2 linked regions of the Anolis sagrei genome follow. The protein of the gene in region 1 binds, or shares a complex with, the protein of each later gene. Links are inferred from orthologs where the notes say so. Each region holds a gene or a part of one and is shown in the gene's direction. Other genes may lie near its edges.

Region 1 (3,754 bases):
TTCTTTTGGACTTCAATTCCCACCATTCCTAACAGCTTTGGACTTCAACTCCCACCATTCCTAACAGCTTTGGACTTCAACTCCCACCATTCCTATCAGCCTCAGGCCCCTTCCTTTTGGACTTCAACTTCCACCATTCCTAACAGCCTCAACCCCATTCTTTTGGACTTCAACTCCAACCATTCCTAACAGCTTTGGACTTCAATTCTCACCATTCCTGACAGCCTCAGGCCCCTTCCTTTTGGACTTCCAACTCCCACCATTCCTAACAGCTTTGGACTTCAACTCCCACCATTCCTAACAGCCTTAGGCCCCTTCTTTTGGACTTCAACTCCCACCATTCCTAACAGCTTTGGACTTCAACTCCCACCATTCCTAACAGCTTTGGACTTCAACTCCCACCATTCCTAACAGCTTTGGACTTCAACTCCCACCATTCCTATCAGCCTCAGGCCCCTTCCTTTTGGACTTCAACTTCCACCATTCCTAACAGCCTCAACCCCATTCTTTTGGACTTCAACTCCAACCATTCCTAACAGCTTTGGACTTCAATTCTCACCATTCCTGACAGCCTCAGGCCCCTTCCTTTTGGACTTCCAACTCCCACCATTCCTAACAGCTTTGGACTTCAACTCCCACCATTCCTAACAGCCTTAGGCCCCTTCTTTTGGACTTCAATTCCCACCATTCCTAACAGCTTTGGACTTCAACACCCACCATTCCCAACAGCCTCAGGCCCCTTCCTTTTCCCAAAGGAGGGGCCTGAGGCTGTTAGAAATGGTGGGAGTTGGAGTCCAAAACACTTGGAGGGCCCAAGTTTACCCAGGCCTGTTCTAAAATAAGAGACGGGGGGGGGGGAGGAAGGAGTATAGCCGGTCTGAATCTGGAAAGAGGGCGGAAGTTGGCTTAAGCGGCTTTGGAAGAATATTTGACAGGGTCTATAGCAGGCATGGGCGAACTTGAGCCCTCCAGGTGTTTTGGACTCCAACTCCCACCATTCCTAACAGCCTCAGGCCCTTTCCTTTCCCCCCTCAGCTGCTTTACCTAGACCTGTTCTAAAATAAGAGGCTTAAGCGGCTGAGAGGGGAAAGGAAAGGGCCTGAGGCTGTTAGGAATGGTGGGAGTTGGAGTCCAAAACACCTGGAGGGCCCAAGTTTACCTAGGCCTGTTCTAAAATAGGAGGCTGAGGGGGAAAGGGGGGGGCCTGAGGTTGTCAGGAATGGTGGGAGTTGGAGTCCAAAACACCTGGAGGGCCCAAGTTTGCCCAGGCCTGCTGTAGTGCCTTAACCCTGAGTATATAGCTGGTCTGAATCTGGAAAGAGGGCCGAAGTTGGCTCAGGCCTGGTGTCCAAACACAAGGTTCCCCCGTCAATTCTATAGAATGGCTTGATGTCACAGAGGACGAAATAACCGTCGGGTTTTTCAAAAATCTTCTGGGCGAGAGGTCAAAAAAAGAGGGGGGGGGGACCCCTTCCAAAGTGTGTTTGTGAGGCGGTGCGAAGCATCGCGCCTGTTTCTTTCCAAGCTCTCTCTCTCTCTCCCTCCCGCCAGCCTGCCGCTCGTGCCCGCGCGGTCTCCTGTTGCGCGCGCCCCCTCCTGTCGGCGCCGTGCGCGCGCCCCTTTGCGCGATGCAGTGTGGGAATGGCTGTGGCGCTGGGGTTGGCTGGAAGAGGCGGCCAGTCGAGGAGGTTTAATGTCCGCCATGTTGGCCGCGGCGCGCTGAGCGGAGCCGGAGCGGCGAGGAGGCGGAGGAGGGCGGCGGCGGCGGAGGAGGAGGCGGCGGAGGAGAGGAGCACTCGGCGTCGCCCGGGCCGGGCTCTCCGCGCGGAGCAGCAGCGCCGCCTCCAGCCCCCCTCCCCCGCCCGCCTCCTCCTCCTCCTCCTCCTCCGCCGCCGCCATCATCATCATCCCTGCCGCCGACTAGCATGAGCAAACTGTCGTTCCGGGCCCGGGCGCTGGACGCGTCTAAGCCGCTGCCCGTCTTCCGCTGCGAGGACTTGCCCGACCTGGCCGAGTATGCCTCCATCAACCGGGCCGTGCCGCAGATGCCCACGGGCATGGAGAAGGAAGAGGAGTCGGTACGTGAGAGAGAAAGGAAAAAAACCCCTCCCGCCGCCATCGCCGCCTCTGCGCAGGCACAAAATGGCCGCCATTCCCCCCCTCCCGCCGCCCTCGCCCTCTCGAGCCCTCTCCCTCTGCCTTGAGGAGGAGGAGGAGGAAGGGAGCGGGGAGACAGCGAGCCAGCCGGGCCCCTCCGCGCGCCCTCGGGGTCGCCCTCCCGGCCTCGCTCGCTCTCGGCCCCCCGAAAGGCACAAAGGGCGTCACGTGACGCGACGGGCGGGCGGCCGCCATTTTGTGGAGGCGCTCGTTGGAAGGGCTGGGCCTGGGAGAGGGAAGGCAGGCAACGCTAGGTGGCGCCTGCGCCTCGCGCTCCCAGCTGGGGAGAAAGGAAGTCCAGGCTGGCCATGTGGTGTTGCTGCTGCTGCTGCGCGCGCCCCGCGTGTTCTCCTCTCTTCCCAGGCTCGCACTCCAGGAGTGGTCCCCTCACTTTTGGGCCTCCAGGTGGTTTGGGACTTCCAACTCCCAGAAATCCCAGCCACCTCAACAGCTTTTATTTCACTCGTATCAAACACATTTCAAAAAATTAGTATATACTAATTTTTGCATAGTATATACTAATGAATATATAAACACTAAACAATTCAAATAAACAAATGCAGCAAAACACTATGAAGATACTAAAAGACTCTCCAGGTGTTTTGGACTTCAACTTTCACTGTTCCTGGCTCTTTGGAATTGTGAGAGTTGAAGTCCAAAACATCTGGAGGGCCAAAGTTTATGAGGTAGACATAAAACATACCTTGTATAGCAGGGTTTCTCAACCTGCGGGTCGGGACCCCTGGAGGGGTCGTGAGGGGGTGTCAGAGGGGTCACCAAAGGCCATCAGAAAACACAGTATTTTCTGTTGGTCATAAGGGTTCTTTATGGGAAGTTTGCCCCAATTCTATTGTTGGTAGGGTTCAGAATGCTCTTTGATTGTAGGTGAACTATAAATCCCAGCAACAACAACTCCCAAATATCAGGGTCTGGTTCCTCCAAACTCCACCAGTGTTCACATTTGGGCATATTGAGTATTTGTGCCAAGTTTGGTTCAGAGCCTTAATTGTTTGAGTCTACAGTTCTCTCTGGATGTAGATGAACTACAACTCCAAAACTCAAGGTCAATGCCCACCAAAAGCTTCCAATATTTTCTGTTGGTCATGGGAGTTCTGTGTGCCAAGTTTGGTTTGATTAGATCATTGATGGAGGTTAGAATGCTCTTTGATTGTAGGTGAACTATAAATCCCAGCAACGACAACTCCCAAATGTCAGGGTCTTTTTACCCCAAACTCCACCAGTGTTCACATTTGGGCACATTGAGTATTTGTGCCAAATTTGGTCCATTGAATTAAAATATGTCCTGCAAATCAGATATTTACATGACGATTAATAACAGTAGCAAAATTACAGTTAGGAAGTAGTAAAAAAAATTATGGTTTGGGGTCACCACAACATGAGGAACTCCATTAAGGGGTCGTGGCATTAGGAAGGTTGAGAAACCCTGTTGTATAGTATATACTAATTAATATATAAACACTAAACAATTCAAATGAACAAATGCAGCAAAACACTAAAACACCCTCCAGGTGTTTTGGACGTCAACTCTCACAGTTCCTGGCTCTTTGGAATTGTGAGAGTTGAAGTCCAAACTATC
Region 2 (3,754 bases), on another chromosome or scaffold:
GCCCTGGCCGTTGAGCGCTCCAGCTGGAGGTCAGCTGTGACCAGCAGTGCTGCAGAATTTGAGGAGGCATGAGTGGAGGGTGAAAGAGAGAAACGTGCCAGGAGGAAGGCGCGTCAAGCCAACCCCGACCGGGACCGCCTTCCACCTGGAAACCAATGCCCTCACTGCGGAAGAAGATGCAGAGCAAGAATAGGGCTCCACAGCCACATACGGACCCACAAGGAAATCCATAATGGAGGACCATCTTACTCGTCCAACGAGGGATCGCCTAAGTAAGTAAGTAAGTAAATGTCATAAATAAATAAATAGGAAGTAGCAGCCAGCAATGAAAGGACCAAGTCATGGACGTCTGTGGCCCATCCTGTGTTCGGATATCAGCCAGCATGCCAATGCCTTAAATCAAGAAACAGCTTCCTAAGATCTACAGAGATACTCACACCTCAGCAAGCGAGAGTCCAAAAGTGGCAGGCTCAAACCCAGCATCTCAGTCAGTGGCTGAGACCGGATGAGAAACTCCCTCTTGGGCACACTGAAGAGTATTTATATAGATATATATAATATTAACATTTCAATGTTATTATTTCTATATATTATTTAATTGCCCAGTATTTTAAGATGGATAATTAATAATAATAATAATAATAATTATTATTATTATTATTATTATTATTATTATGAAGTATGTGTGTGCCAAGTTCTATCCAGATCCATCAAGCCACGGAGGAGCCTTTCTAATACAAACCAACCAGCAAACATATGTTTACATCCATCCATAGAGCACAGCTCTTGATTTCCTTTAGGACTCGGCGATCGATTGCTCCGGCCTGCCCTCGCTTTCTCAAGCCTAGACCCAGGGCGCCTAGCCGCGCTCCGAGCGCATCGAACTTCGCTTGCTGCTCAGCGGCGGCCAACATGGCGTCGGCTTCCTCCTCCGCTCCGACGGGGCTGGCGGGAGGCCGAGCGCCGCGGCGGACGGCAGGCAACAAGCTCTCGGGACTGCTGGAAGCCGAAGAAGAGGACGAGTTTTACCAGACGACTTATGGCGGCTTTACTGAGGTAAGAGTTGAGGGAGATCGCCAAAGGGGCGTGGCTATGCAAAATGAGGCCTTAGCGACACGGCGATTGGTTAGAATTCAAAAGAAAGGGCGGGGCCACCGAGTTGGATCTGATTAAACCTCGGGGGCGTGGCTTACCCAAGTGGGCGGGGCTCTATTCTGAGCAAGCCCAGCGATTGGCTGAGAGGAAAAGAATGGGCGGGGCTGCAACTTGCAGCTGATCTCATCCTCCTGTTTGCTTCTATTGTGCATCTTATAATAATAATAATAATAATAAATCTATTTAATTGGCCTACCCAACCAGTTTGAAGCATGAATTTTAATCTCAGTCCTGTGTTATTTTAAGATGTATTTTGTAGAAATACATTTTAATTTGCATTTAAAAAAAATAAAACAACTTAAAATATACAATAATAAATAGAAATACATTTAAATATATATGTATGTATTTATTTATATCGTGCTTTATCCTTCCATACAGAGACTTTAAGCAGCTCACAGTCAAAAACATTACAACTCAAAATATACAATAATATATATATATATGTATATGTATTTATTTATTTATATCGCGCTTTATTCTTCCATACGAAGACTTAAAGCGGCTCACAATAAAAAAAATATTACAACTTAAAATATACCATAATAAATAGAAATACATTTTAATATATGTATGTATTTATTTATATCGCACTTTATCCTTCCATACGGAGACTTAAAGTGTTTCACAGTCAAAAACATTACAACTTAAAATATACAATAATATATATATATATATATATCTCGCTTTATCTTATTTATATTCTGCTTTATCAGTCAAAAACATTACAACTTTAAAATATACAATAATAAATAGAAATACGTTTTAATATATATATGTATGTATTTATTTATATTGCGCTTTATCCTTCCATATGGAGACTTAAAGCGGCGCACAATCAAAAACATTACAACTTAAAATATACAATAATTAATAGAAATACATATATATATATATATATATATATCGCGCTTTATCCTTCCATACGGAGACTTAAAGCGTCTCACAATCAAAAACATTACAACTTAAAGTATACAATAATAAATAGAAATACATTTATATATAGATATATAGATATGTGTGTGTGTGTGTTTATTTATTTATTTATATTGCACTTTATCCTTCCATACGGAGACTTAAAGCAGCTCACGGTCAAAAACATTACAACTTAAAATATACAATATATATATATATATATATATTTATATCGCGCTTTATCTTTCCATACGGAGACTTAAAGCGGCTCACAGTCAAAAACATTACAACTATATATATATATATATATATATAATAAAAATACATTTTAATATATGTGTGTATATATGTATTTATTTATATCCTGCTTTATCCTTCCACCCGGAGACTTAAAGCATCTCACAATCAAAAACATAACTTAAAGTATACAATAATGAATAGAACAAACGAACATTACATTTTTATTTATATATTTTATATATTGTACTATATGATGATACCACAATATATATAATACATACCAGTATGTTATACTATTAATATTATATATTATATTGTACCATATCATAAGTTTTAGTATATATAAAAATATTATATATTATATTACAACATTATTAAATTATAGAAGTTTTAGAAGTTCATGTGTTTTAATTATGCCATAATCCCCTCGAGCCATGAGGATAGGCGGATAATAAGTAAAATTATTATTATTATTATTATTATTATTATTATCTAATGGGGGATCAGCAAGGTTTGAGAGGAACTCCATCCCTCACTGCCTAGTTTCCAACAGATCTCATAACCTCTGAGGATGCCTGCCATAGGTGTGGGCGAAACGTCGGGAGAGAATGCTGCCCAGAAACCTCACATAAATCCAACTCCATCCCTGCTTAGCCATACTCTTGGGTTCCCTGCAGGAATCCGGTGACGACGAATACAAGGGTGATCAGTCCGACAGTGACGATGAAGTGGATTCGGATTTCGACATCGACGAAGGGGACGAGCCCAACAGCGACCAGGACGACGACGAGCCCAAAAGGAAGCGCCGAGTGGTGACCAAGGCCTACAGGGTGAGACAGATGTGGATCAACCCAAATATGGATGGGTAACTTGCATGTTTTTACAGTCATTTGCTTGGCTTTCCAGTAGAGTAGGAGCAACGGAAGTATTCCAGAGGAGATTTCAAAGCCTAGGCAAGCTCTTTGAGCTGCTCCTCATAGGGCTTGTTCTCCAGACCCATGATCCTTTGAGTCGCCCTCCTCTGGACACATTCCATCTTGTCAATATCATTCTTCAATTGTGGTGCCCAGAATGGGACACAATATTCCAGGTGTGGTCTAACCAAGGCAGAATAGAGCATGGTGAGCATGACTTCCCTGGATTCTAGACACTATAGAGGCCCAAATCTTGTTGCCTTTTTTTGCCACCGCATCACATTGTTGGCTCAGGTTTAACTTGCTATCCATGTGGACTCAAAGATCTTTTTCACACGTCCTGCTCTTGAGGGAATATGCCTATTAGTTTCCCATCTTTGAATCTTTGCTAGGAACCCATCAAAAGCTTGAGGCCTAAGAAGCCGGAGGTGCCTGCCAGCAGCTCCCAGAAAGTCCGGGAGGAAAGAGCGACTCCGGCGGAGCAAGACGATGCCGTCGACAGTAAGTGGCTTTCCTATTTTGGGATTTGG

Evidence for each region. The genes of interacting proteins can lie anywhere in the genome.
Region 2: EPC1 (region 1) and VPS72 share a complex: the UniProt entries of both Homo sapiens proteins name them as parts of the nuA4-related complex. The link is inferred for Anolis sagrei from reciprocal best matches to the Homo sapiens genes EPC1 and VPS72.

Annotation. Positions count from the first base shown.
Region 1 is NC_090026.1:112,422,025-112,425,778, reverse strand, and holds the start of EPC1 (enhancer of polycomb homolog 1), read left to right. Parts: upstream 1-1,609; 5' UTR 1,610-1,925; coding exon 1,926-2,078; intron 2,079-3,754. UniProt on the Homo sapiens protein: Component of the NuA4 histone acetyltransferase (HAT) complex, a multiprotein complex involved in transcriptional activation of select genes principally by acetylation of nucleosomal histones H4 and H2A.
Region 2 is NC_090032.1:6,555,616-6,559,369, forward strand, and holds the start of VPS72 (vacuolar protein sorting-associated protein 72 homolog), read left to right. Parts: upstream 1-866; 5' UTR 867-912; coding exon 913-1,056; intron 1,057-2,987; coding exon 2,988-3,140; intron 3,141-3,616; coding exon 3,617-3,725; intron 3,726-3,754. UniProt on the Homo sapiens protein: Deposition-and-exchange histone chaperone specific for H2AZ1, specifically chaperones H2AZ1 and deposits it into nucleosomes.